4 linked regions of the Saccharomyces cerevisiae S288C genome follow. Changing the gene in region 4 together with the main gene of any one other region gives a genetic interaction. Each region holds a gene or a part of one and is shown on either strand. Other genes may lie near its edges. The genes, in order: DUS3, YDR222W, AYR1 and YSY6.

Evidence for each region.
Region 1: mutations in YSY6 (region 4) and DUS3 together harm fitness more than expected from each alone (negative genetic interaction), as found in Saccharomyces cerevisiae (one large-scale study listed by BioGRID).
Region 2: mutations in YSY6 (region 4) and YDR222W together harm fitness more than expected from each alone (negative genetic interaction), as found in Saccharomyces cerevisiae (one large-scale study listed by BioGRID).
Region 3: mutations in YSY6 (region 4) and AYR1 together harm fitness more than expected from each alone (negative genetic interaction), as found in Saccharomyces cerevisiae (one large-scale study listed by BioGRID).

Annotation. Positions count from the first base shown.
Region 1 is NC_001144.5:921,700-931,011, reverse strand, and holds DUS3 (tRNA dihydrouridine synthase DUS3), read left to right. Parts: upstream 1-6,563; coding exon 6,564-8,570; downstream 8,571-9,312. Other genes in the region: DUS4 (tRNA dihydrouridine synthase), read right to left, coding at 120-1,223; SEI1 (seipin), read right to left, coding at 1,412-2,269; zinc-coordinating transcription factor SFP1, read right to left, coding at 3,393-5,444.
Region 2 is NC_001136.10:906,506-914,705, reverse strand, and holds YDR222W (uncharacterized protein), read right to left. Parts: upstream 4,653-8,200; coding exon 3,405-4,652; downstream 1-3,404. Other genes in the region: HTB1 (histone H2B), read left to right, coding at 1-389; CRF1 (Crf1p), read right to left, coding at 1,204-2,607; GTB1 (Gtb1p), read right to left, coding at 5,268-7,376; MFB1 (Mfb1p), read left to right, coding at 7,854-8,200.
Region 3 is NC_001141.2:122,640-130,779, forward strand, and holds AYR1 (acylglycerone-phosphate reductase), read left to right. Parts: upstream 1-3,564; coding exon 3,565-4,458; downstream 4,459-8,140. Other genes in the region: alpha-ketoglutarate dehydrogenase KGD1, read left to right, coding at 50-3,094; putative glucosidase SIM1, read left to right, coding at 5,512-6,942; POG1 (Pog1p), read left to right, coding at 7,971-8,140. UniProt on the Saccharomyces cerevisiae protein: Can convert acyl and alkyl dihydroxyacetone-phosphate (DHAP) into glycerolipids and ether lipids, respectively. Required for the biosynthesis of phosphatidic acid via the DHAP pathway, where it reduces 1-acyl DHAP to lysophosphatidic acid (LPA).
Region 4 is NC_001134.8:563,211-570,646, forward strand, and holds YSY6 (Ysy6p), read left to right. Parts: upstream 1-2,020; coding exon 2,021-2,218; downstream 2,219-7,436. Other genes in the region: TOS1 (Tos1p), read right to left, coding at 1-1,360; EXO5 (Exo5p), read left to right, coding at 2,513-4,270; Arf family GTPase ARL1, read right to left, coding at 4,665-5,216; UBS1 (Ubs1p), read left to right, coding at 5,642-6,475; TYR1 (prephenate dehydrogenase (NADP(+))), read right to left, coding at 6,632-7,436. UniProt on the Saccharomyces cerevisiae protein: Interacts with target proteins during their translocation into the lumen of the endoplasmic reticulum. Protects unfolded target proteins against degradation during ER stress. May facilitate glycosylation of target proteins after termination of ER stress.

The sequences.
Region 1 (9,312 bases), on a different chromosome or scaffold from region 4:
GTTATATTATTACACAAACAGAGCTGCTTTCGGGGTACGAGTATACGCTCTTGAATGATAGGAAAATATATACAATTTCAGTACCACAGTTTATTAGATTTTTGTAATTCAAAATTTATTCATTCTTGTCTCTCAACCACTGAGGCGCTCCTCTGCACACAGCTATTAGCTTTATAAGGAATTTCAACGCCCATGCCAAATCCATCCTCGCCGTAACGCTTGAACTCAAAGGTTTTATTAAACCAGTCGATCAGACTAATGTAATTTTTAAGATTCATCATTTTCTTTAACAGAGATTTCTTCAACTCCATATTTTCAAGCATACAGTACAGATGGTGCTGAGCCAATTGAAAAGGCAAGCCACCAAACTCTAGAGCCCAATAACAAAACTTCTCAATGCAGCCCCAAGGGCAGGTAGTATATCCAGCAAATAACGCTGGATTGCTTAACAACCCACGCACAGCCATGACACCATGTGCACCAGTGTATTTGGTGATTCTTTCCAAATCGGATAACTTAAAACAATCCCCATTCGCTATTACAGGCACATTTTTGTCGCTGATGTTCTCGATGATATATTTTATCGCATCCAGGTTAGCCGGCTGCGATGACCTAGTTCTACGTGTTCGGCCATGAATCGTAATCCAATCTACCCCAGCATCACATAGCTTTCTACATAACTCCACCGTCTCGTCCAATGCCTCATGTATTCTTATTTTCGTTTCAATTCTTAGTTTGTCGCCATACTTATCTTTCACAGCATGGACCATACTGCATAACAAATCTGAATTGTATATCAGAGCGCAACCTATGCCCTCTCGGATTTGTTCCTTTATAGGACAACCACAGTTAATACCAATACCATCACAGTATGGGGCAACCATTTCCACAAATTTTAGTAAATCAGCCACGTTATTTACACCTACTTGGACGATTAGCGGGGTGTCCTCATTATTTGTAGAAAGGTCTGAGATTCTTGCATGCTCATTACGGACATATTCTCTTGCCAAAATCATGGGGGAGTAAACTATATCAACGTTATATTCTCGGCACAACTGACGGAATGGTAACTTGGAATACCGAACCATTGGGCCTGCAATGGTCACGGGCCGACCATGTGTCTTTTGCCTCGTCTTTATTATATGCAGTGGATCTGTTTCTTCAGTAATAAGCTTCGGCTTCGGTATCAGAACATCACCGGATGGAATATGCATTGTGTGCATTTTCTTTAGAATCTTTATTCTGCATATGAATTATAACTTTGAAGAATCCATCTCTTATTTTCATTTTGAGTTTTTTCGCTGATCATCTTTTTTTTATTCAGGGCGAAGAAGCAGAATGCTGGAAGAGCCTACTTACTTAGAAAATAACAGCTAGGTTTTAAAATTATATAGCGAGAAGTACAATTCTATCAGCTATGTTTCTTGGATTTTTCCTGACCCTTTCTAACAAAAATGAATGCAGTGCAACCTGTGATAAAAAAAAGTACACATATTATGCAATGGAAAATTGAAATGCCAATAATATAAGATAAAAATCTTTTTCGAAGCATCAAGTTTCTTAATCCCTGCTCAAAATTCATCCTAAACTTAATCCCACTTTCTGGATGTATTATTAGATTTCTTTGGGCAATCTCCGTTTTCAAGAACACCGAGATTGTTTCATATGAAGACTCTAACGATATTTTGTCCTCTATTCTTATTGTATTTAGCCATTCTTCATCGTAAACGTCTAGACGTGATGGGCCTAGTTGTTCGATCTCCTGAGGCGACATGGAATCCGTCAGTGCGAGGCAGACAATAGGTCTAGAAGTGTGAAAGATTTTTTCATCTTTGCTGTTACTTCCTCCAGGAGCACCCAATAGCGGGCCTGGACCTCTGTAAACATCAATTAACAAATTGTCTAAATTTAAATGGTCAGTTTTGCTCTGGCAATAAAGCTGTAGGTTTAGATCGAGCTTGTATTCCATGTTGTCACGCATGGGGATTAACTGTGATAAGCCATTGTCTATTGTTTGCGGCAGATCTGTACCTACCGGAATGCTTTTAATAGATTGGAAGAATTTTGTACCAAATTGTACGCCATTTAAAATGTTGAACGTATTAAGGGGGACTACGTTAGAGGAATCGGCAGGTAATAGTCTTAGGTAAAAATCGTGATATATTAAGATCGATAAAGGAAGAATGATTAGCAATTGTATCAGAAATGCAACAACAATATATGAACTCCATTGTAAAAACTGTAATGGACGGGATACATTGATTTTCATCCTTCCTATTCACTTTATCTTATTTTCTTGAAACCTTGGATTCACATTTTGATAATTTGCCGTAAGCTGTCTCTATTTTTCTGTCTTACGCGCATTTATATTTTTAATAACCTTACGTTGAGATTTTCAAATTATACACATAGTAGCAACTAATGATGAGGTAGTTATACTTAACTTTCAAAAGAGCGACTCTAGTATTAGATGAACAATTAGGTTGCTTTATATGGATGACGAAAAGTCTTATTTACAAAATAACTCTCAATAAATGTTTCTTGACCATATGGCTTGGTGTTGTCAACTTTCTAGATAATACTTATCAGCGTGATTGGATTGTAGGTTTGGGAGGAAGGTTGCTTTTTAAGTTACTTATAGTATATTATTATTGATATTGAATTAATTTACTTTCATAAGTGTATAAAATAAAAGTTCAACATTACTAACAAAACTATAATATTTTCTCAACCAATTATTAACCTGTGATAGTTGCGCTGTAATTCCAGTCTAATTAATATGCTTCGTAAGATTAATTGTAATATTTAAGTAATCTTTTAATGGTTCAATAAGATAGTTTCTGCCTAGAAAAACGATCCGACAACGTGCATGGTAATTCACTTACAAATACACAGAATTGCAGATAAAAAACGGAACCTTTTATTTAAGATTTAGAGCATGAATAAGAAGAATTAAAGTTTCTTTTCTTAGAATAAAAATAGTTTTTAATACATCAGAACAGAAGGAAGTAAGTAAAGCCAAAATATATATAGTAAAAACACAGTAGTAAAAAATGAATAGTAAAAAACACACAACAATAATACTAAAAGGAGAGACCAGACAGAGCGCAAATCGTTTTCATGACGGAGTATTTAGAGGAAATGATGACAAAACAAGAAAATGTTATTCTATTATAAGTTCATTTTTCAATAATAGATATGCTTTTTATTTTTTGAAATTAATGGTAACAGTCGAAGAGCACAGCTTTATCATGCATTTTCGTTCAAAGATGATCACATAAATTGCGCCCAACAACAAGAGAAAGAGCGGCCGCTCGATGCATGAGTCGGTAACGGTAGAATTAGTATCTAAATAGCATACTAAATCAATTCAGTAAAGAAACAATTATATCTTAGTGAGTGGAGTGGCCCCTGTGATATTTTAAACCGTTCAAGTTCTTATATCTCTTACCACAAACTTCACAACGGTATGGTTTATCCTTTGCAGAGCCCATTCCATCACCAAAAGAATCTGTCGAATCTGGATCTATTACGCTAAATGTACCGTCAGGGTTTTCATGTAATTTTTGATTCTGATGTCCGTGCAACCTATGGTACTTCAAACCGTTTTGGTTTTTATAAGTCTTTTCACAACCAATAACTGGACACTTAAAGGGTTTTTGTTCCTCATGATCCATTACATAGAGCCTTCTCGCAGGATCGTCTATATAAGCTTGCTGAGGCATCTTGTAATTGTTGTTATGAACTGATTTTCCATTGGAACTGGAGCCATTTTCTGTGTCATCGTCATCGTCATCGTCATCGTCATCATCAACATCATCGTCATCATCAATGTCATCAATGTCTTGATCCTCGACCATGTTTTGAGAAGATTTTGCGTGTACGGAAGAATGAAAAGTATTGTAGTTGTGAGAACCTGTAGTTGGATTTACGACAGAGTTCATGGAATTGTGGTTACTAGGGCCCAAAATATCATCATCCATAAAACTTAAATCTATATCTTGGACAAGTACCAGAGGTGATAAATCGGTTTGATGAGGATCAATTTTTCTTGATTGATGTTGAATAGGATTCCTGGACGTTTTGTTCAAGGAATAGTTATTAAAAGTATGTGGACGATTCACCATGGCGTTTTTACTACCCATGTTAATATTAGAATTGTGTGAGGTATTATTATTGATATTGATACCACTATTATTGTTACTGTTAATTTGTTTATTGTGCGGAACGTGTCTTGATGGAGAATTGCTCGTTCTTAAAAACACATCATTCGTTGAAACGGCATCGACTAGATTACCATTCAGATGTAGTTGTTGAGAGTGATTAGCCATAGATAAGCCCGAGTTGGGGGCACCCGTTATAGATATCACATTTGGATTTGCAGTTGTGGACGACGCAGTTGCTGAACCCATTACACTCGGTGTGGGTACAGCCCCTGATGTATGATTTACAGAATTCGATTGCAACTGTTGTTGTATTATATTCTGCTGATGGTGAGGATGCTGAGATTGTCGTATTGTGGAGTTGGAATCCATGTTGCTCTGAAGATTGGCATGCATATTATTAATGGAGGTGTTATTAGTTGCATTGCTGCTATGAGCCTGCATAGTATTAGTCTTATGACCTGCATTTTTTGTATTAGCGGCCATGTTATTCTGCAGGTTATAGTTGGCAGAAGAGGTATTATTTGTCATACGAACTGATGAACTAGTGTTACCAGCAGAGTTCATCGGTATTTGTGACATATTGGTAGTGTTAGGAGACGTGGATATATGAGCTTCTTCGTAATGTCTCAGCAAATCATGCAAACCTGGTAAGGAAAGACCACAGCATGAATAATCTTTACAATATTGCTTTTCTAGATTTGGCAGATAAGCAGTGTAGGCTATCTGAGGAGAAATAGAATACCCTCTATGGTAAGGCGGATTACTAACAGAGGGTCTCTTAGTTGGTTGTTGAATCTGCAAAGTATTAGTGGCAGTAGTGGTTGCAGAAGCGGCAGCGGAGGCAGCACCGTTTGCTGATGCAGGTACAATACTATTTCTACGGCTAATAATTTCATCTCTTAACCAAGAACCAACACTAATGGATCCCCATGAAACACCACCCATCCCTTGAGAATGGGCTATTGATTCTCTCCGTAACTTGGCAATGTCCTGTGGAGTTAGTAGCGTTTGGTCCATTATATTTGGAGAGTACAAATGAACATTATTTGTATTATTCATGATATTTTTTTGGTGAATATTATTGACGCCGTTAAAATCTGTGTTTTTTCCATTAGAAGAATCCGAATTGTTATTTATCAAAATGGAAGGAGTATTCTGGTTCGAATCAATATCAATATTAAAGTTTGATGACGAATTTATAGATGCATGTGCCGATGTAGCCGTCGTAGTAGTACTAGTAGCCATATTGCTTGCCATAGTCATTGTTGTAAAATCCATACTCAGATAAGCTTTTCCTGTTTCGAAGAAAAATAAAAATACTGAATATGAATATGTCTTTTAATAACAATAAATTTGAAAACGCCTTACAAGTGAAATCTTGAGGTGATTAATAGTAGGTGAATCCAGAGAAAGTGTTTCGAGGATATAATATGGTATCAGAAAGCCAAAAGACGACCGGTATATTATAAACTTAGTATGAATGTATCGTGGCGCTTTTTTCTCCTAGCTTTATTCTTCTTGCTTTCTCGCTCTAAATATGATATTGCGATAAAAGGAAGTAGTTTAACTCACCGTAAAATCGATCAATATTAGAAAAACAGAAAACCACCAGAGAGAAGCACCGATATGTAATTGAAGTAGAAAAAAAATCTAGCTTTCCTTCTCTTTATAAGCGAACTTAATGATTAGATTGACTAGCGCTATCCTTCTTTGATTGTAATATTTGTCAAACCTTGTTAACGGAGCCACTAGAATGTACAAGACGTTATATAGGGATGACAGGTAGAAAAGAGATAGGGCCTGGGAGGTAAAATGCGTACGTTAGCCTAGAGAGCTTTAAATCGGTGACGATGCGAAAGCAAATGATAATGGCAATAGCGGTGGCAGGCGACAGTGGCAAGTGACAATGGCTGATAGTGACGTTATTTGATACAAAATCGCCTTTTAACGAATGCATCGCCCATTTGTTCCAAATTTCAATTGATTCGAAATTGCTCCTTATTATGTAACTGACAAAATCCTGTCCCCTTGCACGACGTAGGCGCGTTTTGTTTCTTTTTCCTACCGCAGACCACCTTGCGCACGGGAACGCCGCACTGTTTGGCACCCAGTCACCGCCCGTACCGTCGTTCCACAGAACATGCCGCAGAAACCTGTCGGGTAATAGTACACGGGATGAAGAGACTTAATGCCGACAAGCCGGGTAGGGGAATTGTAGCTCCGAAAAGCGACGGAAAGTTCAATATACAGAAAGCCCGTGCACCATTTTTGAAAAGTTTCATAAGATCTAGTTAAAGTTATGAAGAATTTAGTTCGAATGTGTAGTGATGAGATGAGCAGTAATGAAACATTAATGAACTCAGAATAGGAAAAAAAGGCAACTTCTAAACATTATTGATGGAGCAAAACGCTGAAAAACGCTCTATTGTTGGCGACGACAACTCAACCGTGAAGAGACAAGACACTTCCCCGTCCAAAGGTATTGCACATATCAAACCAGAATATATTGTACCATTGAAGCAGAATGAAAACCAGAAGGTCGCCATCTATGATGAAGAGATGTCTTCCGACAGAATGACAAACGAGTTTGCAGGTGGGACTAATAAGAAAAATAAGAACGGAAGAGGTAAGAAGCGTGGGCAAAACAAGAATAGAGATAACAGGCAGGTCAAGGAACAGAATGTCTTGTGCCCACGCTTGATCCATGGCGATATATCTAAATGCTCCTTTGGTGATAACTGTAGGTTTGTTCACGATATCAATCTGTACCTTTCAACAAAAAAGCCTGAAGTTGAAAGTAATATATTTCCTTCCTGTCCGGTCTTCAACTCGTTGGGATTTTGCCCCATGGGATTCAAATGCAGATTTTTATCGTCTCATCTGAATAAAGAAGATAATATCCTAATATCGAAGAAGGAGATTGATCCAGATGCGCAAACAATATGGTCCGTTAAAGGTGAGGTAAACCATATCTCACCGGAAAGAAAACTCGATCTTATAAAAAGAAGATTTCCTTTCACAAAAAGTAATGAAATATTGGAAATCATCGACTCTTTCCAACAAGAATGTAGAGATTCCATGAAGCCAGAAGAAGAAGTTGAGTCAACGCCACAGCTGAAGAAACAAGACCCAGATGTGGAACAACCAGTTGCCCCCCAAGTCGAACAGAGGAACAAAGAATTGTCAGAACATAGAATGAAACAGCGTGAAGTATACTTGAAGTACAAGGACACTCGTTATTTTGCTCAAGAAAAAAAGCCACTGGATTTGTACCACAAAAAAATCGTGTCGCCATTGACAACCGTAGGCAATTTACCATACCGTCGTCTAATGAGAAAGTTAGGTGCAGATGTGACATATTCGGAAATGGCCTTGGCAGTTCCCTTAATTCAAGGAACTAATTCTGAGTGGGCGTTACCTAAAGCTCACACATCAGAGTTCCCCGGGTTCGGGGTTCAAGTGGCCTGTTCTAAAGCCTGGCAGGCGGCAAAGGCTGCAGAAGCACTCGCAAACTCCGTCAGTGAAATAAGTGAAATCAACTTAAACTCTGGCTGCCCCATCGATTTGCTATACAGACAAGGTTCTGGTAGCGCCCTGCTGGATAACCCTGCAAGAATGATTCGTTGTTTAAACGCGATGAACTACGTATCGAAAGATATTCCTATCACGGTGAAGATCAGAACAGGTACAAAGGAAGGTCATCCTATCGCGGAAGGGTTAGTCAAAAGACTGGTTAACGAAACTGATGTGGCTGCGATTACCTTACACGGTAGGTCTAGGCAACAAAGGTACACTAAGTCTGCGGATTGGGACTACGTGAGTCAAGTGGCTGACACCTTGAGATCCGCCGAAGCGGATTTCATCGAAACCGAACAAGGCAAAGAAGGCAGGGATTCCAAGAACAGAATTCAATTTGTCGGAAATGGTGATGTCAACAATTTTGAAGACTGGTACCGCTATTTGAACGGAAATGAAAATATTGATAGTGTTATGGTTGCTCGAGGGGCCCTGATCAAACCATGGATTTTTGAAGAGGTTGAGTCGCAGCAGTATCTAGACAAGACAAGTACGGAAAGATTAGACATTTTAAGGGATTATGCGCAGTTCTCTATGGAACACTGGGGCACCGACGAATACGGCATTTCTCAATGTCGTAGATTCTTCTGCGAGTTCATGTCCTTTTTTCATAGGTATGTCCCCATGGGTATTTGTGAAAGATACCCTGTGAAGTTGAATGAGAGACCGCCAAACTGGTGTGGAAGAGACGAACTTGAAACTCTAATGGGTAGTACGGATGTTAATGATTGGATCAAGCTAAGTGATCTATTTTTCGGTAAAACCGACGAGAACTTTGTATTTGTCCCCAAACATAAGAGCAGCTCTTATGCAAACAGAGATTCCTAAATAGAAAATCAAGTGTACATGTATCATAAATCATATCTGATGGGTAAGCGCGGTTATTTTTCCTTTGCAAGACGAGAATTGGAATATGTACGGGTGTCAATTTCAAACGTGAGGTATGGGTTCCAAGAAAATCAAAATAAGCACAGCTGGGAAGGGTTAGGTAGGAGCGGAGAAAAGTGTATTGAGAAAATCTTAACGAGTTCGGACAGGTTATCATCGCAACACAAATGAACATAACTATCAACCTGATGCAACTGTACCTGAGTGGCTCAAATAGCAGGTAAATACAGGTGGATTTAGAAAACGCGCAGTGATTTGAATCTCGCAAGTCGCCTCTGAAAAAAGGCATTTCGCAAACTGGGGTGTCTGGAAAGTTCATTACATCCCGTTCACATAGCTCCTTCCTGGTACTTGAGTAAGTCTTTTAAAACAATTCAACATCTACTTTGTATCAGGCGCTTGGATTTACACTTTTGGCATATTTATTCCTACGCTGCAGTTGCTATTAGCCGCGGAAAGGAAGTACAATAACGTTTTACGTCGATTCGTGTTTGTATTACCCAGCACCTTTTTCTTCTTGAAGATGTATGCACCCGTGCCCCCGCTGTAGTAGCCCCGCGCACTTTGTGTGTGCAGCAACTTCAGGCTTGCTCCGTGAACTCACAACGTCGGCCGTCGTCGCTTGTCGCGCGTCGTCGCGAAGTATTTAAACAAAGCGGGTTTTTCTTGTCCCTTAATTAAG
Region 2 (8,200 bases), on a different chromosome or scaffold from region 4:
CTAAAGCCGAAAAGAAACCAGCCTCCAAAGCCCCAGCTGAAAAGAAACCAGCCGCTAAAAAGACTTCCACTTCCACTGATGGTAAGAAGAGAAGCAAGGCTAGAAAGGAAACATACTCTTCTTACATTTACAAAGTTTTGAAGCAAACTCACCCTGACACTGGTATTTCCCAAAAGTCCATGTCTATCTTGAACTCTTTCGTTAACGATATCTTTGAAAGAATCGCTACTGAAGCTTCTAAATTGGCTGCGTATAACAAGAAGTCTACTATCTCTGCTAGAGAAATTCAAACCGCTGTTAGATTGATCTTACCAGGTGAATTGGCTAAGCATGCTGTCTCTGAAGGTACTAGAGCTGTTACCAAGTACTCTTCCTCTACTCAAGCATAATGAAATCACTTCCTTTGGTTATAATTAATATTATTATTTATATGGGTATATAAAAATTAAAGTAAAGTAAAAAAAATTGTATAATAGTTTAATAATTTTAATGATTATAAGATATTTACTCGGTTGTAAAATTGTGTTCTCGAAATTACAAATGGTCTCATAGAGGGAATGCGCTTATGCGGCAAGGCAGTTTACTTGTAAGACTAATTATAAGAAGAATAAATAGTGTTGCTTATTAATGACTCAGAAAAGTTTCCACATGATATTTATTAGCTTTCGAAACTTCAGAGCATTGGCTCGTGTGAACAATACTAGATTTTTCCTCAAATTTTAATTCGTATTGCAGTTGCTAACTATTACAATTTTTGTTTATTTTATGCCTTGGAGATTGAACCCTCTGTTGTGATTAACTTCCTGTAAAAACTCCACGCAAGAAACAAAATATAAAAATAAAAAAAAAATTGGTAAAAAAATGAACAATAGAATACGCACGTATAAAAAAATACTAAAAATAAAATAAATGCCACCGACTCTATAAGTACACAGCAATAGTAATTAAAAAAAGACAGATGTCGCTGACTGGATCGTCAGCTGCACTTCAGTATTCCTTGATCCTCTCTCAAGTGGATCCATCCATTTCGGCCCCTAAATTTTTCTCCATCTCATCATACGATATTCCAAGTTGATCTTCGCTGACTAAGTAGGTTTTCCTACTATTCTATGACAATTCAAGTAGTAAAGTGCTTCTATTTTTTCGCAAACGATCATATTTTCCTTTAAAAGACGATAATGATTCTTCTGGAATATCAAATAATCACTCGCCTATGAGCTCAATATGGCCATTGGATGCCTTCTCTACTTCGAGTCCGCCTATGTTTAGAAGGTCGGCTATCATAGCATCATTATCAAATGTTGCATCTCCTTTTTGATTTTCCCGTGAACTTACTGAGCTTGAGCATGAGCTCAAACTTTCAGGAGTATTTATGTCATCACTCAATGGGTACAGCGATTTTGTGCACAACCCATCGATAACACTAAACGGTTTATCACTTAAAGACCAAACGTATAACTTTGGTACTTTTATTCCAATTCTTTTAGAATCCAATATTTCGCAAGCTTTATGGCCAATTTTCTTCCTTTTTCGATCTGGGGTTGGTAAGCTCTCGTCTTCATCTGTTGATTCATCATCTCTATAAGTGACCTCATCAATGTTGTAATCACTATCATAACTATCATTCCTTGGGCCTTCCGAAGAACATGTGAGGTTGGATAAGTCTTCTCTTGAACTATTATAGAGGCAATCAATATCCTTTTTCCTTGTATTAATAGCGACGTTGTCTAGACTAAAGGTGCGATCAGGTCCATCGAGCTCTACTTCGTCGATTTTATGCACATGCTCGTTGAGATGAAAAAAGCTAGACACATCTAATGTAGAAAAATGATTGCATTCACTGAAATGACCATCATCCAAGTTAAGGGGCGTACGGTCCTCAAAACAACTGCTACTATATTTTTTTTCGAGTGGTCTTGGATTTTTCACTCCCTTATCCGTACCATCCATTGGTGTCAATATCACGGCCTCATCAAAGTCGACATCTGATTCCGTTTCTGGATATTGGTGTGTAATACCTCTATTATTATTTATCGATACTGTTTCGCAACTATCGATGTGGTTGTCTACTAAAATATCAACACCAATGTCCTCTTCATCTTCATTAGTTGTTGAAGCCGAAGGACTGTGGTATTGTCGGTGAGATTCACTTTTACTTGTTGGCAAACCGAGCAGTACTACAGCCGAATTCGCCCCGAAGTTTACATCGCGCTTATTACTGACATATGTAGTATTGCCAGCTGACGTGAGCTGGTCATTAAATATATTATCTGCTTCTGTCTTAGAGCTGCTGCCAAGAGACGTCTTTTCCTCTACCTCGTTGGTGTTTTCCTCCCTAGAATATTTATAAGAATTTTTTTTTTTCTGTCTATTACTACTTTCTGGTTTTAATCGTTTAGCACTAATATAGCTACTCTCAAAATCCGAGGCCTTACTTATAGAGGGGTCCCAAAGAGCATCAAAGCTGCCATCATTATTGGATGAAAGGACGACAGTTGAAGAGGACGACGAAAAGGAAGCAGCTGTACCTGTCTCTTTTGGCTTTTTTTTATTTGGACTGTGTGGCTTGCGCCGCACGGTACTGTTAACAGGCGCACTAAGCAACATTTTAAAAGACTTTTTTATTCCGTACTATACCGCTGCTGTTCAGTTAAATGGTAACCTTCTTATAACTTTCTAGTGACCGCAATAATTATATTCCTTCTTTTAAGAAATTTCTCGATACAATTATAGAGGGCTTTTGACTCATTAATCTTACTGGAACCATTGACAGATTAGTCCGAAGAAGAAAACTCTAAAAAATCCGCTAGTAAGATTCAACAAAAAAAAAGTCTGCTTGCTATGAAAGTCTGATTTCTAGAGTACACACCTCTATAGCTACACTCTCAACTGATTGCTTCACTTTTTGAAAGAGGAAGAAGGACAAGAACTGGATTCACAAACTCAACTACATCTCGGTTTATCCGTTTAGACCAAGGTTTTATATAAGGCGAGGTAGAGTTCGGAAAAGGAAACTTTCATCGACTTCCCTTAATGATTATTGATTCCCCTTTGCTTTCTCTCCCCAACATTTGAAATATGATTTCTTTTTATTTCGAAAATGCCATTCTTCTCGTTCCCGTGATGTTTTCAATATGCATGCGGCAAGGGGAACATGATATTTCCGTTCTATGGCTTACGCAAGTAAGAAGCATGGCGCAATGATGCAATAGTCCATGGGGGAAAGTGTGGCCTCAAAATGAAAAAAAAAAGTGATGATAAATTAGTTATTAGGTAGTGATTATGTAAAAAAATTCGATTACACATTAATTATTAGGTAAAGTTGGTAGAAGAAACAGGAGAGAAAAAGAAGAGAAAAAAAAGGACAAAAAACGAATTTCATGTGGAAGTGTTCACGCTTTTGTTCAACTAATGAAGGTGCTCTCAACGATAGAAATACCTTTCTCGTGCTTATATTTAGAAGGTTGACAGTATTGATAAATGAAAGGTTTGATGCTCACAATTTTCTGAGCTAACGACCTGACCATGCTTGGTAACTCACCGAGAACGTCGTATCGATTAACCAGCCTCAAGTCGTGTTCTGAAAATCCACCGGGGAACTTGATAGAGGTTGGATATACCCAGCCGCTTTCCTTATCTGTACTCGTAGCACGGAACCTAACATGACGTTTTGGGCTCTGCACAGAAGAACCAATAGATATCAGTTTGTTTTTTTCAGTAATTGACCAAACTGTTACGGTGACGTTATCATGATCTCGAGGAGTAGTGAATTCAATTGCTAAAACAGAGTAGTTTTCGCTCTGAAAACATAGGAAATTCCATTTACTGGCTGCTTTATTCGGCAAAAGACCTTGAACAGCGTCCAGATAAACGACAGGAACATCAGTTAATGAAATATTTTTATTTTGAAAGTCCCCACTATTGAGTTTTTTATCGTAGGAAATATTACCATTACATTTACCTCTGGGCACAAAAACATGTCTGATCATTTTGTCTGAGGAAACGAATTCGTCACTCATCGAGATTTGTTTGTCAAAATAATAATTGCAACCGTTGGGGTTCATCTTAAAACCTTGAAACAAATCCACCAACAAATCGATTTTCAAATTTTGAATTGTATTGTTACATGTTGGTAAATCACATTTGATAGATAACTGGCCAATGGAACCTAATTTTTCATTTTTGTTGCTCAAAAATTCAAAAATAACATTTCTAGAGACAAACTTTAATGGTTGAAATTCAGCTATGTCATCCAATTTAAAACTTTCCCAAACGTCGTAGTCAGTATTATTACTTTCTGAGCCAAAAACCTTGAAATTCAATTGGAAGCCTTTATAGATACCACCCATAACCGTAGAATACAGTAATTGAACAAATCCACACAAGCCTGTATGCAAATCTGTGAAATATAACGTTTGGGTCTCGACTCTGGTCTCCATCGATTTTTTCATCACTCTGAATAAACCTCTACCACCATCTGTCTTGTTACTTATGGTGTGTTGGTAGCCCGTTTCACTATCATTGTGACAATACCACTCCAATGGTTGGATGTCATTAATAAGAGTATAGTTCTTACTCTTACTTACCGGTTTTTTGTAATCTACCTCTTTAATAGGCGCAAACTTTATCTTATCACTGCTCGATTCAAGCATCACTAAATGAGTCTCTATGTATGTACGATGTATCTTATACGCCCTCACTGTCAAGAAAAGACAATACGAAGTACGGCGGCAATTGTCACTCAAGAAATTTCTTCATTTTTATATGACTATACATCGTAAACTCAAGCCCAGAGAAGTGAGTCTCCAGTAAACACTGTTCGTTATATCCATCACATTTAAAATCCGTAGGCTTAAGATTGCCAAAACATATGCATACAAATTCCAGTAGTAAACATGATTTTGGAATTCACTGTAATAATCTGTGAGACATCTTGGAAACCGGAAGAACAAAGATGAGAAAAAAAAAAAAAAAAAAATAAAAGCCGCATAAACATCGGCTAGACGGAAAAATTAGCATTACGTCTATGACTTAGTTCTCCGAAAAAAATACAAGCCGTGTGGGGTGATTACGCCGTACCCTTCTTTTCGCGTTATTCCAACAGGTCGTACAGAACTATCAGTATTTGGAACGATATACTTATTTATCGTCTTTTCGCGTTTTGGCCGAGGGAAATATTGCTTTTGTTGCGGAAAAGAGTATCACGGCACAGCATCGGCCTTCCTAGTTGTTTACTTACTAAAAAAGCCTAACTACTCATTTTCCAGTCATTCACTTAAATTGAACTTAGGGGGCTCGTATTCGAAAGTCTTGTTGCAGCCTAGAGGACCAACGACATCGAAGATGTAGTTGCACTTAGTCGCTTCATGTACACTCCGAATCTTGAATTTGTCGCTGCACCGAACAAATACAGTAGCCGATCTGCGCGGACCATTCCAGCACTGGTCTCCATTTTCGTATTCTAGTACCAGACCATTATTCAGTTCGTTTAAGTTCCCGAATACGTAATGTTGCATGTTACCGTCATCGTCCTGTATAGCTGCTAAGTTTGAAATCAAATCACTCTTCTCATCATATGTGGCCTTTAAATGTTCTGCGTATTTTTCCATGTTTAAGTCAACATTAAAACCTGATGTCTTAAAACGACCGATCAAAACTTTTTTACCGTCAACCTTATCCTCAGCTTGATATATGACACCTTCGGTCATTGGACGTTGAAAGCATATAGTGTACACATAGTTGTCCAGTATGTCGTCAAGACAATAGGATTGTGATCCCATTAGTTCTAAAAGCTCAGTCAGATTTCCTGCAGTAGAATTAGTTCCTTCATCTTCAGTTTCATCTAATAATTTCTTATAGTCCATTTTTTGCTTTAATTCATTCTCCAGGAGACTGACTTGACTTTCACAAGAGCGGAATCTCTTCTCTAATGAGACCAAATCTTTTCTAGATGAAAAAATATTCAGCTTAGATAGAATCTCTTTGAGTTTATTGCGCAAATCTCCAGAAGTACCGATATGATCGCTGTTCGTATCTTGTTCTGACTCAACAGCGTCTGGTGGCAATACCTTTGGTGCATTCTCGTTCACAAATGATGTTACTTCGCTCAACGATCTCAAAAGGCTCTCTGACGGGTGAGCTGGTTCTAATTCAGCCAGTTCGCCGTATTCACCTAGGTAGTTTTTATACGAATCGACAGCACTTTTGACCCCTGCATCTTGAAAGTTAACATTGTAATTCTGAGAAATATCATCCATAATCAAACGGAATTCTCTGATATACTCCAAGATATCGTTGGTATAGTTAATTTTACCCTCCACTAGCGCTTGAACAAAATTGGATTTTCCTATGACGTACCTCAACGTGTTCTCAGATTCTCTTTTCAAAAAAATTTGAGGTACTTCTTCTGTAAAGTACAAGTAAAGATTATCTGCCTGCTCATCATCAATTTTGCTATCTGCATTAATTTTAGCCTTTTCAGCCCGTCTTCTAACTTTTCTGAATTTTTTAATATTATCATTGACAACTTTATCATTTAGCGAGGGAGTATAGGCCTCTGATAAATCACTTAAAATCTTGAATATGTCCTGGTAACCTTTACTTACTCTTGAAACCATAGTGAACGATGTAAGGATGTCCGATCCCAAACGAGTACTGTTTAATTGTTCAAATTGATACAAAATGGGATCATGGCTTAATTGGTTAAAGTACTCGCCTCTCAACTGCTCTAATTTGGCTCGATTTTCTGAGAGCCTGTTGGAGAGTACTTTTATCTCGGCAGAAGCTTTTTCCTTATCTTCTTCTAAGCAATTACCACGGGTGATAGCCTCTTCCTTTGTACCGTATTTTCTTTCCAGTTCTTCTAGGGCCTCTTTACCTTCCCGGTAACTTGATAACTCTTTAGAGGCCATAATGTCAAATTCGTTTTTTAACTGAGAACAATTAGATCCAGCATCAAAGAGCTCATATCCAGAAAGTAGCTCGTCAGAACAGTCACAGCAGTCACAAATACCATCTGCGACTTCCGATTTTCGTATATATCTTGGAATAAACCCCTTGTTATCACAATAAAAATACTTATTCACTTTACCACCTCCCTCTGCAACGCTTTTGAATATATCTTCCACGCAGGCGGCGCTGCCGGGCTCATCTGAACCATCAGGACAATCACAAACCCCATCATTAATCTGGCTTATATCCAATACGATATCTTCGTGGTTCAAACAGTGCCATTTAGTCAAATCTGGTTCATTCGAGTCATACAAGTGCTGCTTTTCCCAGGGAACACCCACTATATGCCGTTGACTTTGTTGCAATGACGCTACAAGCGGCGATTGCTCAATTAATAGCAGAAATAATGAGAACATGCTCACCATAGCGAATCTTCTTAATGAAATAGCAGAAGTGCCTTTATGCTTCTTAAATGCAGTGCGGAAGCCTCTGCTTCTACCATAACATCTTCCAACACAGTCTTCATACACTATTATTATTCATTTTATGGCCGGGTAAGTATTTTAAAAGGCATTGGCAATACCCGTTTTGTTTTGACCCAAACAACTGTTTATCATTATTCCTGGTGCTGTCTTCTTAGAAACTATAAACGCTTGTGCACCTACCCAGTATTTAACCAGTTGGGAGGAGATAACAATATTTACTTACTTTTTCACAAAATAGGAAAAGGAAAGTTATACTTTGCTATAGTTTAAACAAAGGGAAAGTTTTCAAATAACCAAGGAGTCTCTGTTACTACTTGCTAAATATCCTCATACAAAATATCAAAACAAATTGGCCAAACTGCACAAGGAAAGTTCACTTTTGTTCCAGAATTAGTTATAGTTCCTTCAACCACATAGATGACATTATTTTCTTGTAGTGTACAGATGCCGCTGGAGGAAAGGTCCCTGACAAACTTACCATTAAACCTATTGTTCCGAATATTGTCTCACCTGGATATGAATGATTTACAAAACATAGGGAAAACTTGCACCTTGCTAAGGATGCTGGCGAATGAGAACATTGTTTACAGAAATGCTGTTATCGGCTCAAACGGGAATATGTGGTGGACAAAAAATGTTCTTGTTGATGTCTTTGATGTTTTGAATTTTAATAGAAAGGCAATGAAAACCTTAAATAGTCACAACATATCCCTGGTCGCATCATTAAGAAATGTTCAGCGGAAATATAAACTAGGCGTTATTGA
Region 3 (8,140 bases), on a different chromosome or scaffold from region 4:
AACAAAAGAGAAAGAAAGCAGTTTTTAGAAAATACTAAATTTTACCGTTATGCTAAGGTTCGTGTCTTCGCAAACCTGCCGGTATAGTTCAAGAGGACTATTAAAAACATCTTTACTTAAAAATGCATCTACTGTCAAAATTGTCGGAAGAGGGTTAGCCACCACTGGTACAGATAATTTTCTATCGACATCAAATGCCACCTATATCGATGAAATGTACCAAGCTTGGCAAAAAGACCCATCTTCAGTCCATGTTTCATGGGACGCATATTTCAAGAATATGTCTAACCCAAAGATTCCAGCTACAAAGGCTTTTCAGGCTCCTCCCAGTATCAGTAACTTTCCCCAGGGTACCGAAGCAGCTCCCTTAGGGACCGCAATGACTGGTTCAGTAGATGAGAACGTCTCCATTCATCTAAAAGTGCAATTGCTATGTAGAGCTTACCAAGTTAGAGGTCATTTAAAAGCCCATATAGATCCTTTAGGGATCTCATTTGGTAGTAATAAAAATAACCCTGTTCCTCCGGAATTGACTCTAGACTACTACGGCTTTAGCAAACACGATCTTGATAAAGAAATCAACCTAGGACCTGGTATCCTGCCAAGGTTTGCAAGGGACGGGAAATCTAAAATGTCTCTGAAAGAGATTGTGGATCATCTAGAAAAGTTATATTGTTCCTCTTATGGGGTACAATACACACATATTCCATCTAAGCAAAAGTGTGATTGGTTAAGAGAGAGAATTGAGATTCCTGAACCTTACCAATATACAGTGGACCAAAAGAGACAAATCTTAGATAGATTAACATGGGCCACTTCTTTTGAGTCATTCTTATCTACAAAATTTCCAAATGATAAGAGGTTCGGTTTAGAAGGTTTGGAAAGTGTTGTTCCAGGTATTAAAACTTTGGTTGATCGTTCTGTTGAATTGGGTGTAGAAGATATTGTTTTGGGTATGGCTCACCGTGGTAGATTGAACGTTTTATCCAATGTGGTCCGTAAACCAAATGAATCTATTTTTTCTGAATTTAAGGGTTCGAGCGCTCGCGATGATATTGAAGGATCGGGTGATGTCAAGTACCATTTGGGTATGAACTACCAAAGACCAACTACGTCTGGTAAGTACGTCAATTTATCGCTGGTGGCAAATCCTTCTCATTTAGAATCCCAAGATCCAGTTGTTCTTGGTAGAACTAGAGCTTTATTGCATGCCAAGAACGATTTGAAGGAAAAAACAAAGGCCTTAGGTGTGTTATTACATGGTGATGCTGCTTTTGCTGGGCAGGGTGTTGTTTATGAAACCATGGGTTTCTTGACCCTACCAGAATACTCTACTGGTGGTACTATTCATGTTATTACAAACAACCAGATCGGATTCACTACGGATCCAAGATTTGCAAGGTCCACACCATATCCTTCCGATTTGGCTAAGGCCATTGATGCCCCAATTTTCCATGTTAACGCTAATGACGTGGAAGCTGTGACCTTTATTTTCAATTTAGCCGCAGAATGGAGACATAAGTTCCACACAGATGCCATAATTGATGTCGTTGGTTGGAGAAAACATGGACATAATGAAACCGATCAGCCATCGTTTACTCAACCATTAATGTACAAAAAAATTGCAAAACAAAAATCTGTCATTGACGTCTATACGGAAAAATTGATAAGTGAAGGCACATTTTCTAAAAAAGATATTGATGAGCACAAGAAATGGGTATGGAACTTATTTGAAGATGCTTTCGAAAAGGCAAAGGATTACGTCCCATCTCAAAGAGAATGGTTAACTGCTGCCTGGGAAGGATTCAAATCCCCAAAGGAATTGGCCACTGAGATATTACCACATGAACCAACTAATGTTCCAGAGAGTACTTTGAAAGAACTAGGTAAGGTACTCTCTTCGTGGCCAGAAGGTTTTGAAGTGCACAAAAATCTAAAGAGAATTTTGAAAAATAGAGGAAAATCTATTGAGACAGGTGAAGGCATCGATTGGGCCACCGGTGAAGCATTAGCGTTCGGTACATTGGTTTTGGATGGTCAGAACGTTAGGGTTTCCGGTGAAGATGTAGAAAGAGGTACATTTTCTCAACGTCATGCAGTCTTGCATGACCAACAATCTGAAGCCATTTACACACCGCTAAGCACTCTGAATAATGAAAAGGCAGACTTCACCATTGCAAATTCCTCGTTATCTGAGTACGGTGTAATGGGTTTCGAATATGGTTATTCGCTAACCTCCCCAGATTATCTAGTCATGTGGGAGGCTCAATTCGGTGACTTTGCAAATACAGCACAGGTTATTATTGACCAATTTATTGCCGGTGGTGAACAAAAATGGAAGCAACGCTCTGGTTTAGTTTTGTCTTTACCCCATGGTTATGATGGCCAGGGGCCAGAACATTCGTCTGGTAGATTGGAAAGATTCTTGCAACTAGCCAATGAAGACCCAAGATATTTCCCATCTGAAGAAAAGCTACAGAGACAACATCAGGATTGTAATTTCCAGGTTGTTTATCCAACTACGCCTGCTAATTTATTCCACATTCTAAGGAGACAGCAACATCGTCAATTCCGTAAACCATTGGCGTTATTCTTTTCTAAACAGCTGCTGCGTCACCCATTGGCCAGATCATCTCTTTCCGAATTCACTGAAGGCGGATTCCAATGGATTATCGAAGATATTGAACATGGAAAAAGTATTGGTACGAAAGAGGAAACCAAGAGATTAGTTTTGCTGAGTGGCCAAGTGTACACTGCCCTACATAAAAGACGTGAAAGTTTGGGTGATAAGACCACTGCTTTCTTAAAGATTGAACAGCTGCACCCATTCCCATTTGCTCAGCTACGTGATTCATTAAATTCTTATCCAAACTTGGAAGAAATTGTTTGGTGCCAGGAAGAGCCATTGAACATGGGTTCGTGGGCATACACAGAACCACGCTTACACACAACATTAAAAGAAACGGATAAATATAAGGATTTCAAGGTCAGATACTGTGGTAGAAACCCAAGTGGTGCTGTTGCTGCCGGTAGCAAATCACTACATTTGGCCGAAGAAGATGCCTTTTTGAAAGATGTTTTCCAACAATCCTAAAGATGAATTCAAATATGAAAAACATGAAAATACAGCCATATAAACACGTAATATTTTTACCTTAATGTTTATGGACAGCCTTTTTACTTGAAGAATGATCTAACAAATATTTTTTTTGATACATTCACATTTTTTTTTTGTTCATGATGTTAGCATCTGCTTAGTCTTTTTAAAATTATTTAATTTAACGTTTTATTTATGTGAACCTTTTTTTATTAGTTGTATTTACTATTTATTCAAGAATCATTCTTTACTTTATATTGATATCGTTTTTTTCCCCCTACTTCCTCCTCTGGTGTATTCACAGCTAGGTGCTTCTCTTGTCCTCATCCGGTGGAGAAAAAAAGTGAAAAATAAGTCAATGGAAAGGGGGAAGGGGGTAGGTAAATAGAGTGAATAAGTTTTATTCATCATGCCCAACTTCTATTAATATATACTCAATTCAAATATTGATCAGGATTTCAAAGAGTATGTCGGAGTTACAGTCACAACCTAAAAAGATTGCCGTTGTTACAGGCGCCTCAGGTGGTATTGGATATGAGGTAACGAAGGAATTAGCCAGAAATGGCTATTTGGTTTATGCATGTGCAAGAAGACTAGAACCAATGGCACAATTGGCCATCCAATTTGGTAACGATAGTATCAAACCATATAAGTTGGATATTTCCAAGCCAGAAGAAATTGTAACATTTTCTGGTTTTTTGCGAGCTAATTTACCTGATGGTAAATTAGATTTATTGTACAACAATGCCGGTCAGAGTTGTACATTCCCTGCATTGGATGCAACAGATGCTGCAGTAGAACAATGCTTTAAGGTCAATGTGTTTGGTCATATCAACATGTGCCGTGAATTGTCGGAGTTCCTTATTAAAGCGAAAGGAACCATTGTCTTCACTGGTTCCTTGGCAGGAGTTGTGTCATTCCCCTTTGGTAGCATTTATTCCGCTTCTAAAGCTGCTATCCACCAATATGCTCGTGGGTTACATCTAGAGATGAAGCCCTTCAACGTGAGAGTGATTAACGCTATTACTGGCGGTGTGGCTACTGATATCGCTGATAAAAGGCCCTTGCCTGAAACCTCAATATACAACTTCCCTGAAGGTAGGGAAGCTTTTAATTCAAGAAAAACCATGGCTAAGGACAATAAGCCCATGCCAGCTGATGCGTACGCAAAGCAACTGGTTAAAGATATCTTGAGCACTAGTGACCCTGTAGATGTTTATAGAGGAACGTTCGCCAACATCATGCGTTTTGTCATGATATTTGTTCCTTACTGGCTATTGGAAAAAGGACTTTCCAAAAAATTTAAATTGGACAAAGTTAATAATGCTTTGAAGTCGAAACAGAAGAATAAGGACGATTAGTGTTTCACCATCGTCAATAGCTACCTATATTTATATACAAGATTCCGTATAGTTTGTACACCACGTCAGGACATCAATAGCTAATAATCGTTCTAATGCTAATGTTCAACTGCTCTTTAAGTATTGTTTACGTCTCGTCGTACCAGTATGCCAAATTCCTGTCACTTCACTCATTCTCTTTGCTCTTACCGTTTGAAACGCGCTGGGACGGAATTCGCTCATTTCGCATCGTGCTTTGTTGTTTTTTTTTTTTCAAAATTGCCATTGTTTATTTATAAACTACATGAAATTATTCTGTATTTATCTTCGCATTCCCTCTCTTACTTCAAAAGTGAGAACAGCATATTCAAATATATATATCTACTCAGTTGAATAAGACACTATAGCAAGACCATTTGAACTGAAAGAAACAGTTTCTTTGCTCCCCTCTCGAATTCCAACTATTTACAGTCCTTCCTTTATAAAAATTAACTAGCGAGCAAGAAAACATTTGTTTAGTGCTACCCAACTACTTACATTCCTTTAAAAACCACAATATTTAAGTTAACCTGAGCTTTATTTTTAGTAAGTTATTTACCACAATTTTTCTCATACACCTTTACAATCCGTATTGCCATGAATACCAAGGCTTGCTCAGCTTCTGCAGCAGTTCAACCCTTTCCAATACCGCCAATGCGTCCTCAAAACGTTAGTTTAGTCGTGCTCAACCGCTATTTTTGGTTTTATCTTCGTTTCTTTCTCCTGAACGACATTCGTCACGAAAATTGCGGCGGAAAATTTCCTGATGCGGACACTTTTTCCCGATCCGGACATGCCTTTTTTTGGCGTTTCGCGTCAGTCAATAGAAGTTTCAGATCTACATTAGGAAGAACCAGAAAATAGCCATTAATGCTTTCAGCATAGCACAGCATAGCAGCTGTGTATATCTTAAATAAGATGTAGACTGGTTTGCATTTGGAAAGGTTTTGTGTAAGAAAAGCAATACTTGAGGTAAAACAAGAGAAAAAAAAACACTTTACTAACTAATATCCAATCCTTTATTTTTTTGCAGAAATGAAATTCTCAACTGCCGTTACTACGTTGATTAGTTCTGGTGCCATCGTGTCTGCTTTACCACACGTGGATGTTCACCAAGAAGATGCCCACCAACATAAGAGGGCCGTTGCGTACAAATACGTTTACGAAACTGTTGTTGTCGATTCTGATGGCCACACTGTAACTCCTGCTGCTTCAGAAGTCGCTACTGCTGCTACCTCTGCTATCATTACAACATCTGTGTTGGCTCCAACCTCCTCCGCAGCCGCTGCGGATAGCTCCGCTTCCATTGCTGTTTCATCTGCTGCCTTAGCCAAGAATGAGAAAATCTCTGATGCCGCTGCATCTGCCACTGCCTCAACATCTCAAGGGGCATCCTCCTCCTCCTCCTCCTCCTCGGCAACTTCTACCCTAGAAAGCAGCTCTGTTTCTTCATCTAGTGAAGAAGCTGCTCCAACATCTACTGTCGTGTCAACTTCTTCCGCAACCCAATCTAGTGCTTCTTCTGCCACTAAATCTAGTACTTCTTCCACTTCACCATCTACTTCTACTTCTACTTCCACTTCTTCTACTTCCTCTTCCTCTTCCTCCTCCTCCTCCTCTTCTTCTTCTTCTTCTGGCAGTGGTAGTATCTACGGTGATTTGGCCGACTTTTCAGGCCCAAGTGAGAAATTCCAAGACGGCACTATTCCATGTGACAAATTCCCATCTGGTCAAGGTGTCATTTCTATTGACTGGATTGGCGAGGGTGGATGGTCCGGTGTGGAAAACACCGACACTTCCACTGGCGGTTCATGCAAGGAGGGGTCCTACTGTTCCTACTCCTGCCAACCAGGTATGTCTAAGACCCAATGGCCATCCGATCAACCATCTGACGGTAGATCTGTCGGGGGTTTGTTGTGTAAAAATGGTTATTTGTACCGTTCTAACACTGACGCGGATTACTTATGTGAATGGGGTGTCGAGGCTGCCTATGTTGTTTCTAAACTAAGCAAGGGTGTCGCCATTTGCAGAACCGACTACCCGGGCACTGAAAACATGGTTATCCCAACCTATGTTGAAGGGGGTAGCTCTTTGCCATTGACCGTTGTTGACCAAGATACTTACTTTACTTGGGAAGGCAAAAAGACATCTGCTCAATACTACGTTAATAACGCCGGCGTCTCAGTTGAAGATGGGTGTATCTGGGGTACTTCTGGATCTGGTATTGGTAACTGGGCACCATTAAACTTTGGTGCTGGCTCCACTGGTGGAGTGACATACTTATCATTGATTCCTAACCCAAACAACAGCGACGCATTGAACTACAACGTCAAGATAGTTGCTGCTGATGATTCATCCAATGTCATCGGTGAATGTGTTTACGAAAATGGTGAGTTCTCTGGCGGTGCTGACGGGTGTACCGTCTCTGTTACTTCCGGTAAAGCTCATTTCGTCTTATACAATTAAGCTACGTGACTACTACTTTTCCTTTTTTTTTTCTTTTTTCGAACACATCTCACCCCCTATACCTCACACAATCACTATGGTCCCCTTTTCTTTTTACCGATATTTATACTGTCCACCTTTTTCTTTTCGTTAATGGCCTCAATGTTTCTGTACCATTATCCAAGTGAACTTGTTAGACGACCAAATATAGCCAAGATTCATTACGATTATCTTTAACTAGCAAGTAGTATTCTTGGATAGAGAGATTTTCAAAGACGGAACAATTTTAAATAGATTTACATAAGAAAACACATACTGTCCGATACCCATAAGAAATTTAAGAACTCTTTTCATCTTCAGCTTTCCGGCCTCCTTTTACTGTAGCCTGTTCCTAGACAGCTAAAAATAGTACATATGCAGCTCTGCAATAGTCTCAAAGGGGATATTGTGTAGGTTTACGAAATCATCACATTTCCGAATCAGGACATGAAGGCACAACTTTCCGCACGTAGTGTTTTCAGCCCCCAGCGCCTGTCGGCGCGAAGAGGATCTGCGGAGATGAGCTTTGCCCCGCCATTACCCGTAAAATATTACTGTTTTGGGCAATTGTGGATCAAAAAGGGAAAATGCGGATGGTGAAAAAAATTTTTGGAAATTTACTGCTTCAGATGGGGGAACTTTGTAAGTTCTTCCTTTTTTTTCGTAGAGGTTGGAAAATTCAGAGTGCTAAGAAATTAAAAGGTATGCACTGCCTATTCTCATAAAAGCAAAAGTGCACAAAAATAATAAGGTGTGAAGCAATAGTAGAAAAGACACTGGGAACCCAAGGTATCTTATTTTAACAGATAAGTAAAACTAAGATCAAATCGCGTACTGATATCACTTAAGGTTCGCGTATTTTAAAGGCTACGCAGAAGAGGAAATAAATTGCGTGCAATCCCTGCGCTTAACTCATACAAAAAGGCGCAAAACATTTCAAGAGTCCCACGATTAATTGCAGAAATTGAAAAAAAATAAGTAAAGACGAAAATCAAAGTGGATGCCATATTATGAAGCAGGAGCCACATAGACAATCCGAAGAAAAAGAGAAGCCGAAAGGACCAATGGCTGTTGAACGAGAGCAGCATACCTCATTATCTTCTGGTACAACCGTGACAGCTAGTACAGGAGACGAGAGTACCAACAGTAGACCAGTGGAATCATCGCAAACAGAAAAGTC
Region 4 (7,436 bases):
AGGCCGCAGAAGAACCGGACTTGCTCAACCATTGGTCAACGACATCATCGCTTAAAGTAGCATCAAAGCTTTCGTCGACTTCGATAATGTGAATAGTTTTATCACTTGAATTAAAGATTACGGCAGCCTTTAAAGTACCATCAGTTGGTCTCTCGAAGTAATCTTGAGTACCACCATCTTGGCCGTCATGGATGTGTGAGATTAATTTATCAGAACCAGCGGTCAAAATTTCGAACAAATCCATTTCACCACAGCCAGTTTTCCAACAAGAACAAGATGCATCACCATATTGCAAGGTTCTTGGGATTTTTGCATTTAATAACCAAATAGCTGGCATATCTTGATTGTAGGCAGAACCGCTGGTGTCACTTGGCATAGAAAATTCGAAGACGAAAATTTTATCAGCCCCACCAAACCCATGATAAGCAGGAATGCCTTCTCTGTAATAACCACAATCGCCGTTATTACCGGAACATTCTTCACCGGAGAAAATCATGAATTCATTACCAGATTTAATGGTGACATCACCAAGAGCTTGAGCGGAGGCAGCACCAGAAACACCATCTGAAGCAGCAAAAGAGATGGAGTTACCGAAACAACTCGACCAGACACCAGAACCGGCAGTCCCCCCTTGGTTGTTCATGAATGTACAGTTGCTAGTAGAGCCTGGGACAAAGTAGGAACCTCTGGACCAGTCACCGTTAGTGTTAGAAGATGATGACGAAGATGATGAAGCAGCAGCAGCAGAAGAGGTGGTTTTAGAGGAAGAGATGGAAGACTGGCTTTCACTCGTTTCAACTGCTTGAGCACTGCTGGACAAAACAGTAGAGTCTTTAGTGTAAGAAGAAGGAACAGCAGGACCGACAACGGTATTGGTGGAATCGGCTGTGACTGTTTGACCATTACTGTCGACGTAAACAGTGGAAGTAACTTGAACATATTCAACAGCAACATCCCTCTTGTGCTGATGCTTATGTCTGGAGACAACAGCTTCACCTTCCTTACAGGACTCGATTGATTGTTTCTCTGATCTTTTCTTCAAAGCATTAGATTCACCATTTGGGTAGTAAACACCAAATTGTAGTAACTCGATCGGACCCCTGAAATGAACAGATAGTTCCTCGTTGAAGGGAGCCAAGCTACCAGAAGCAGTGAAATCAGCTTGGGTACAAGCACAAGAAGATTCATCCATATTGGTGACATCTTGGTAGGTAGCAGATAAACCGACGTTAGAGTAAATGATGGCATCGGTTTGAGCACAATAGTAATTACCGCCAGAGTAAGTACAATCAGCGTTCACGAGTGACACAACTGAAGAAAACAAACCGACTAATGCGGTCATGGAAAGCTTTTGTAACATTTTTTTCGTTCAAATTCCGTTAGGTTTTAGATATTTTATGGGGTGTAAATGGAAAAACGAAAAGGTGAGAAAAAGACGTTCTATTGAAGGAGTGACTAGAAGTTGGATAAGTTAGGTTGGTTTGAGTTTTGATTCTGGAGTCTTCTTGCGAGAAAAGAAATAATTATAATATAAAAAAAAATTGAATGGAGATAAGAAGTTTAACTAGCAAAGTTCGAGAGATATAAAAAGTAGAGATGCGAAAATAAAATTAAAACAAATCTGAAAATAATGGAAGTGAAACAAGGCTAAGCAAGAAAATTTTCTATATTGCCAAGACAGGAACGTTTGTGATGAATCACATCTGCATTCGTGGTATATTTAAATGAAAATCCCAAGTTTCGAATTTTCACGTTTGCTGTACGACGAAAAAGCGTGGAAAAATAAACAAAACCAGCACTAAATCGCCAACGAAAAAGGAAAGTCGCCAACGCGAAAAGAAAAGAAAAAGCGAGGCGCAGATCTCGTGGTATGTGATATCGTGTCTAATGACTTGACGTGGCTTTTTTTCTTGTCGCCATCTGCGCTTACTTGCGTTATATCAAATATAATTTCAGCACAGCATTACATGCAGAAATAGCAGGGTGCAGAGGTCGAAGTAGATAGAGGACAACACCTGCGATGGCCGTACAGACACCAAGACAAAGACTGGCTAATGCCAAGTTTAACAAGAATAACGAAAAGTATAGAAAATACGGTAAGAAGAAGGAGGGCAAAACTGAGAAAACCGCACCTGTGATATCCAAAACTTGGTTGGGTATTCTTCTGTTTCTTCTCGTAGGTGGTGGTGTTTTGCAACTAATCAGCTATATCCTATGAAGCAGTGGCAAATTGCATATATAAGTGTACAGTGGAAGCAAGTACGTAAATAAATAAGCGATTTCGAATAATAATAACAACAAGCATAAGGCAGTATTACCCGCGTTGTCATTTATGGATGCGAAAAAAGATGAAGTAATTCAAGTGCTATTGTGATTTACCATGCCAATCAAACGTGCAACAAAGATGAGTATGAGGGGGGACCCAGGCATAGTACACAGAAAAGCTTTGTAGACTGTCTTTGTTTTCTTAATTTTTCAAGTAGGCTTTCTGCTTTTCTTCTGTACTTATCGTATGCTGGGCCGGGCACTAATCAACAAGTATGGATTTTTAATTCATCCTAGGAGATTTGTACATTTAAACGATAAGTCCCTTGATGGAACATTTATACTACCTTCGAAGAAAAATCATATGTATGATGTTCCAACTAATGATCCAAGCGGTATCCTGAATGCCTCGGATATCGATAGAATCAATAATTTGCCATTTTTCGATAACACCAGTCCGACAAAAGAGACAAATACTAAGGAAGGAGCATTGTTGAGCGAAAAATTGGCCAGCGTTAAAGAATTATTTGGAGAAGACCCTGAAAATCCTTCGTTTATCAATTACAGATTCCCCAGAGGTTTAGAGAATCCCTATTTTGACATTCAAGTAAATCAGCTAAAGAAAAAACGATTATCCGTCACACAATTATGCACTACGCAGAATTGGTGCGAGTTAAGGAATTTTTACGACTTTTATTCTCAAAATTTGTCTAACCAACTACTGAACTTAAAATTTCAGGTGCAGAAAGGTAAAAAGATTCATAAATCACTAGAGGACGAAACGCATCCTGAATTAAATCAGTATAAAAGCTTTACCCACAATTTCCTTGCACTGACAAAATTATCTATGGATATTGATAATGATATGGATGCCCTGCTAGATAACTGGTTCAACTCTATCAATAGATTGGTCTCTTTATTCACCAAAGGTGACGGTCATGCAAGAGAAATAGTTTGTCATGGCTTCATTAACTTAGAAGATGGCAAACTGGTGGAGCATTTGCTGAACAGTGATAGCAAGACAAAGGAAAATGTGATTATATCAGGTGTTATTGACCACTTAACTCTTAGAAATAGGCACAATCATCAAGTACAGAAAGGTGCAGCTCATCTTGATACGGAATATCAGAGCTGGGGTAATATCCTCACTAATTTACTATCAAATCTAAAAGAACTGAAGTCGAATAACGAGATTGTTATCTCTGATATCAAAACTAGGTCAGTACCAAAAATACCATCTATTGAGTCCGTTATAGAATCCTCTAAATTACAGACAATGTATTATAAGTTTTTTTTTTCCCACCTTAGTCAAGACATGACACAAACCTACCATAGCTTTTTAATCAATGCCCAGAGAAGAGGACTCGACGTTGATGCGCCCATAAATCCTACCAAGATTTTAACATTCATACTAACAAACCCACTCTTCGCTAATGATGTGAAGAACCTCCTGTACGGACTACCGATAAATCATTCTGCTTTCGATAACGACGCCAAAGGCTCTAATACATTTGATATGACCGCGTTCAATGATTTGCTGGATAGAGGTCCCACATCTTTTAACGTTCCGATTGAGCAAGACGAAGATAGTTCGGAGTCAACAAAATGTGTATCTTTGCGAGATTATGGACATTTTTATACGAAATGGAAGACACCTCTAACTTTGAAATACTTTGCGGCAAGGTTATCACAGATCTATTTTATTGTGGGTAATCTCGTTTCGAATGATTTAATGATAGAATATTATTACCATAACGATAATTTCCACAATATCATCTTCCCATATGATCCCTTGAAACTGGGAACCCATGCCCATGATTCTGCAATGGTTTGGTTTGGTGGCAGAGATATGCATCCAATTGAGCCTACTCAAAAAAACTTCAACACATACTGTAAGTTTTGTGACTACAGACACGTTTGTTCTTGGAAAAATAAAAATGAATTGAAACTTATTGATCTAGGGAAAGAATTAAAAAAAATTATTCTTGAATCAAGTATGAAGTAGTGTAGGTATTGTAACATTATTTATTCTAGTTATTAAAAGGGTGTTGTTTCGTGAATACATTGAAGTCCTTTATTGGGTTATTAAGCACATAAATCTGTTTCTGCTTTCGGACGTCCTGTTTCAATAAATCGGAATTGAAATGACAATTTAATTTAAATGTATATATGCAACTTTCATTAAGAGGTCATTAGGTATTTTAATGCGGCCTTCTCATTCATCGGAACGATGTAATTGCCTTTAGAATTAAAACCCAAAGAGAAACATGTATACACTTACTAACTCTATTATGTTTGGATAGAGCTCCTTGATAATTCAGTTACAAAACAAATTATATGTATATTCAATGCCATTTAAAAAGTATGCATCTACACTTTTTTTTTGCAAATCTTTATCGCTATAACTGTTCCTCTTTTATAACATCAATCAACCAATCTAAACCTTCGGTAATACCTTCGCCTTTAATTGCACTGGATGCTACGATAGACCAACTTCTGTCCTTCAATTCTACAAGATTCAGTTCTTTGGAGACTTCACTGGCACTTAATGCACCCGGTTGGTCTTGTTTATTTGCAAAAACCAGCAGTGCTGCATCTTGCAATTCTTCTTCCTGTAACATCAAATGAAGTTCCTTAGAGGCTGTAGACATACGATCTTTATCAGTCGAATCAACAACGAAAATAACTGCAGCAGTGTCTGCATAATAACACCTCCAGTAGGGCCTGATACTTGTTTGACCACCAAGATCCCAGACGTTCAATTTTAAGTTTTTATAACTTAGCGTCTCTACATTGAAACCAATGGTTGGCTTTGTAGTGACTACTTCGCCAATTTGTAAACGATATAAGATGGTAGTTTTACCTGCACCATCCAAACCCAAAATCAATATACGCAATTCTTTGTTTGAACCCCATAGTTTGTCAAACATTGAACTAAAAATGTTACCCATCTTGATCTATAACTCACTTTACTGGAACTTTCTTCTTAGATCTTTCTTTATTTTTCCTTTGGTTTTAGAAACCTTATTACTCACCGTTTCGTAAATACAAATGAACCACGCAATCCTTTACTACTTGAAAGTTCCGAGAACATTCTGCCTAATATTAATTGTCGTAAATCTAACTTTTATAGGCAAAATAGTTTTATTCAAAATTTCAATTGGAAAGGGCTCTGTTACCCGTCCTGTACGATGCAGTGGGTTTTGTTATTGTCATAAGAAATATTTAACCTACTCTTCCCATATATATCATAGAACACATTCTTAGTATGTTTTGAGAGCATCAATCTAACGTTGCCTTTGTCGTGATTTTGTGCGAGGAGGCGATATAAGAGCTAAACAGATTTTTTTATATTTTAATCAAAAAGCTAATAATTATGGCTTACTCTTTAACAAGGAAATTGCTGAAGGATTGGAAATATTTTATGCGCCATCCTGAGAAGACCCAAGGTCTTTTTCATGTAAGGCCACATGATTCAGACTTACATCTTTGGCACGTGGTAATGTACGAGCCCAGGACTTCTTTGGAAGTATATCTACTACTTTATATTGGCGGAAACGACCAGGATCCATATATCATCATGAAATGTCTGTCTCCAAATTGTTGCTTTCCAATTAACAGAACGGTTTCGATGACACACTTAAACTATCTTTTATTGAAAGACTTGGGATTACAGGATTTACTTTTCCACATATGGCAACCGCTTTTTCATATTCAAGCAACGGAAGACTTACAGTATTCACCGTCAACGGTAAAATTCAACAGGGCGTGGAATAGGATTATATATAAGGACTTTAAATCTTATTTTCCGGAACTGATAGGTACTTTACAACCAGGTGATTACTCTATAGTAAAGAGCTATTCCAAAAATCATAATATCAGCAATAGTAATGGTGGCAGTGTCAATGAATTTATGTCCTCTTACAATGCTCAAAGCCACACCTTTCACGCACAAGACAACAGCAAGAACCCTTATACTAACAGCAGCATAGGAAAGTCTAGTATGTTATCTACTCTCAACAATAATAACGTTAACAAAAGGACACATGACTACAATGCTATCGACTTTATGACCAAAAACTTACTTGCATGTGATGATGACAGTATTCATCCGGTCGTAAGTTCTAAAAGGTCAAGAACGTTGGCATGTCCAGATGAAACGAACGATAATCGCGGTAGTGAGCATTACACAAAGAGGAAAAAAATCTAATGGGTTTATTTTTACATAGAATAGTAGAACTTTCTTCCTTTTTTCACGATTTTTTGCATGGGCATTTGTCACAATATATATTTTTATTCAGTTATATAAATATACTCCTTTTCACAAAAGAAGGCCTAATATTATAGGAAATCAGCATTAAAAACATTATGTATTTCTTTTTTCAGCGGCCGAACGGTCACTAGAATGACTCAGAATGGTTTTTATCATCTCGTTGCCAATGAGATTAGCCTCTGGAAGCATTGGCTCAAAGAACTTTTGAACACTCTGAAATTGCTTTTTGTATATATCAAAATTGGCAAAAGAAACAACCGAGCTCCATTCTCTAGCCGAAATAACAAATTCTAAATCATCTTTTATGAATGATTTATCATGGATAGCTGCATCAATTGTCTGTTCTAATAAGCCAGGTTTTAAAAAAAGATATTCGGACACACCCAGGAATATTCTGAATAATGGCGTCGAACAAATCATATGATCATATGGATCAATACCAAGTTGAAACCACGAATCAACAATCGCCAACAATGATAAATGTGAATTCGGCACTGGCTTGCAATTGTTGCTGTTACCAATGCTGCTTTTTGATAGCGAATATTTCTCTAAAATCGTGTCATCCAATAGTAAGAGACCAGTATGCTTTCCAAATACAAATTGCTTAGCTTTTAATAGTCTATCAGTAAGTTCTTGTTCTTTGTTATCTATCATTAAACTAAATAGTTCTGTTGCACTGGTTGCATATTGAAGAATTTGCTGATGTGCACTTGGGTTTGTTATGGCTAATCCTGCGTAAACATGCCACTTGTTCGAATAGATTCTTAGTGATATATTAACTTTCACATTTTCTAGGCCACCGTACCATTTGTTTACACCCAGAGTCCAAGGATAAATCTTTATCTTTGCCCACGCAGATCCCATACTTAAGAAAGCAGCATGTGTCACAGCTTGTGTA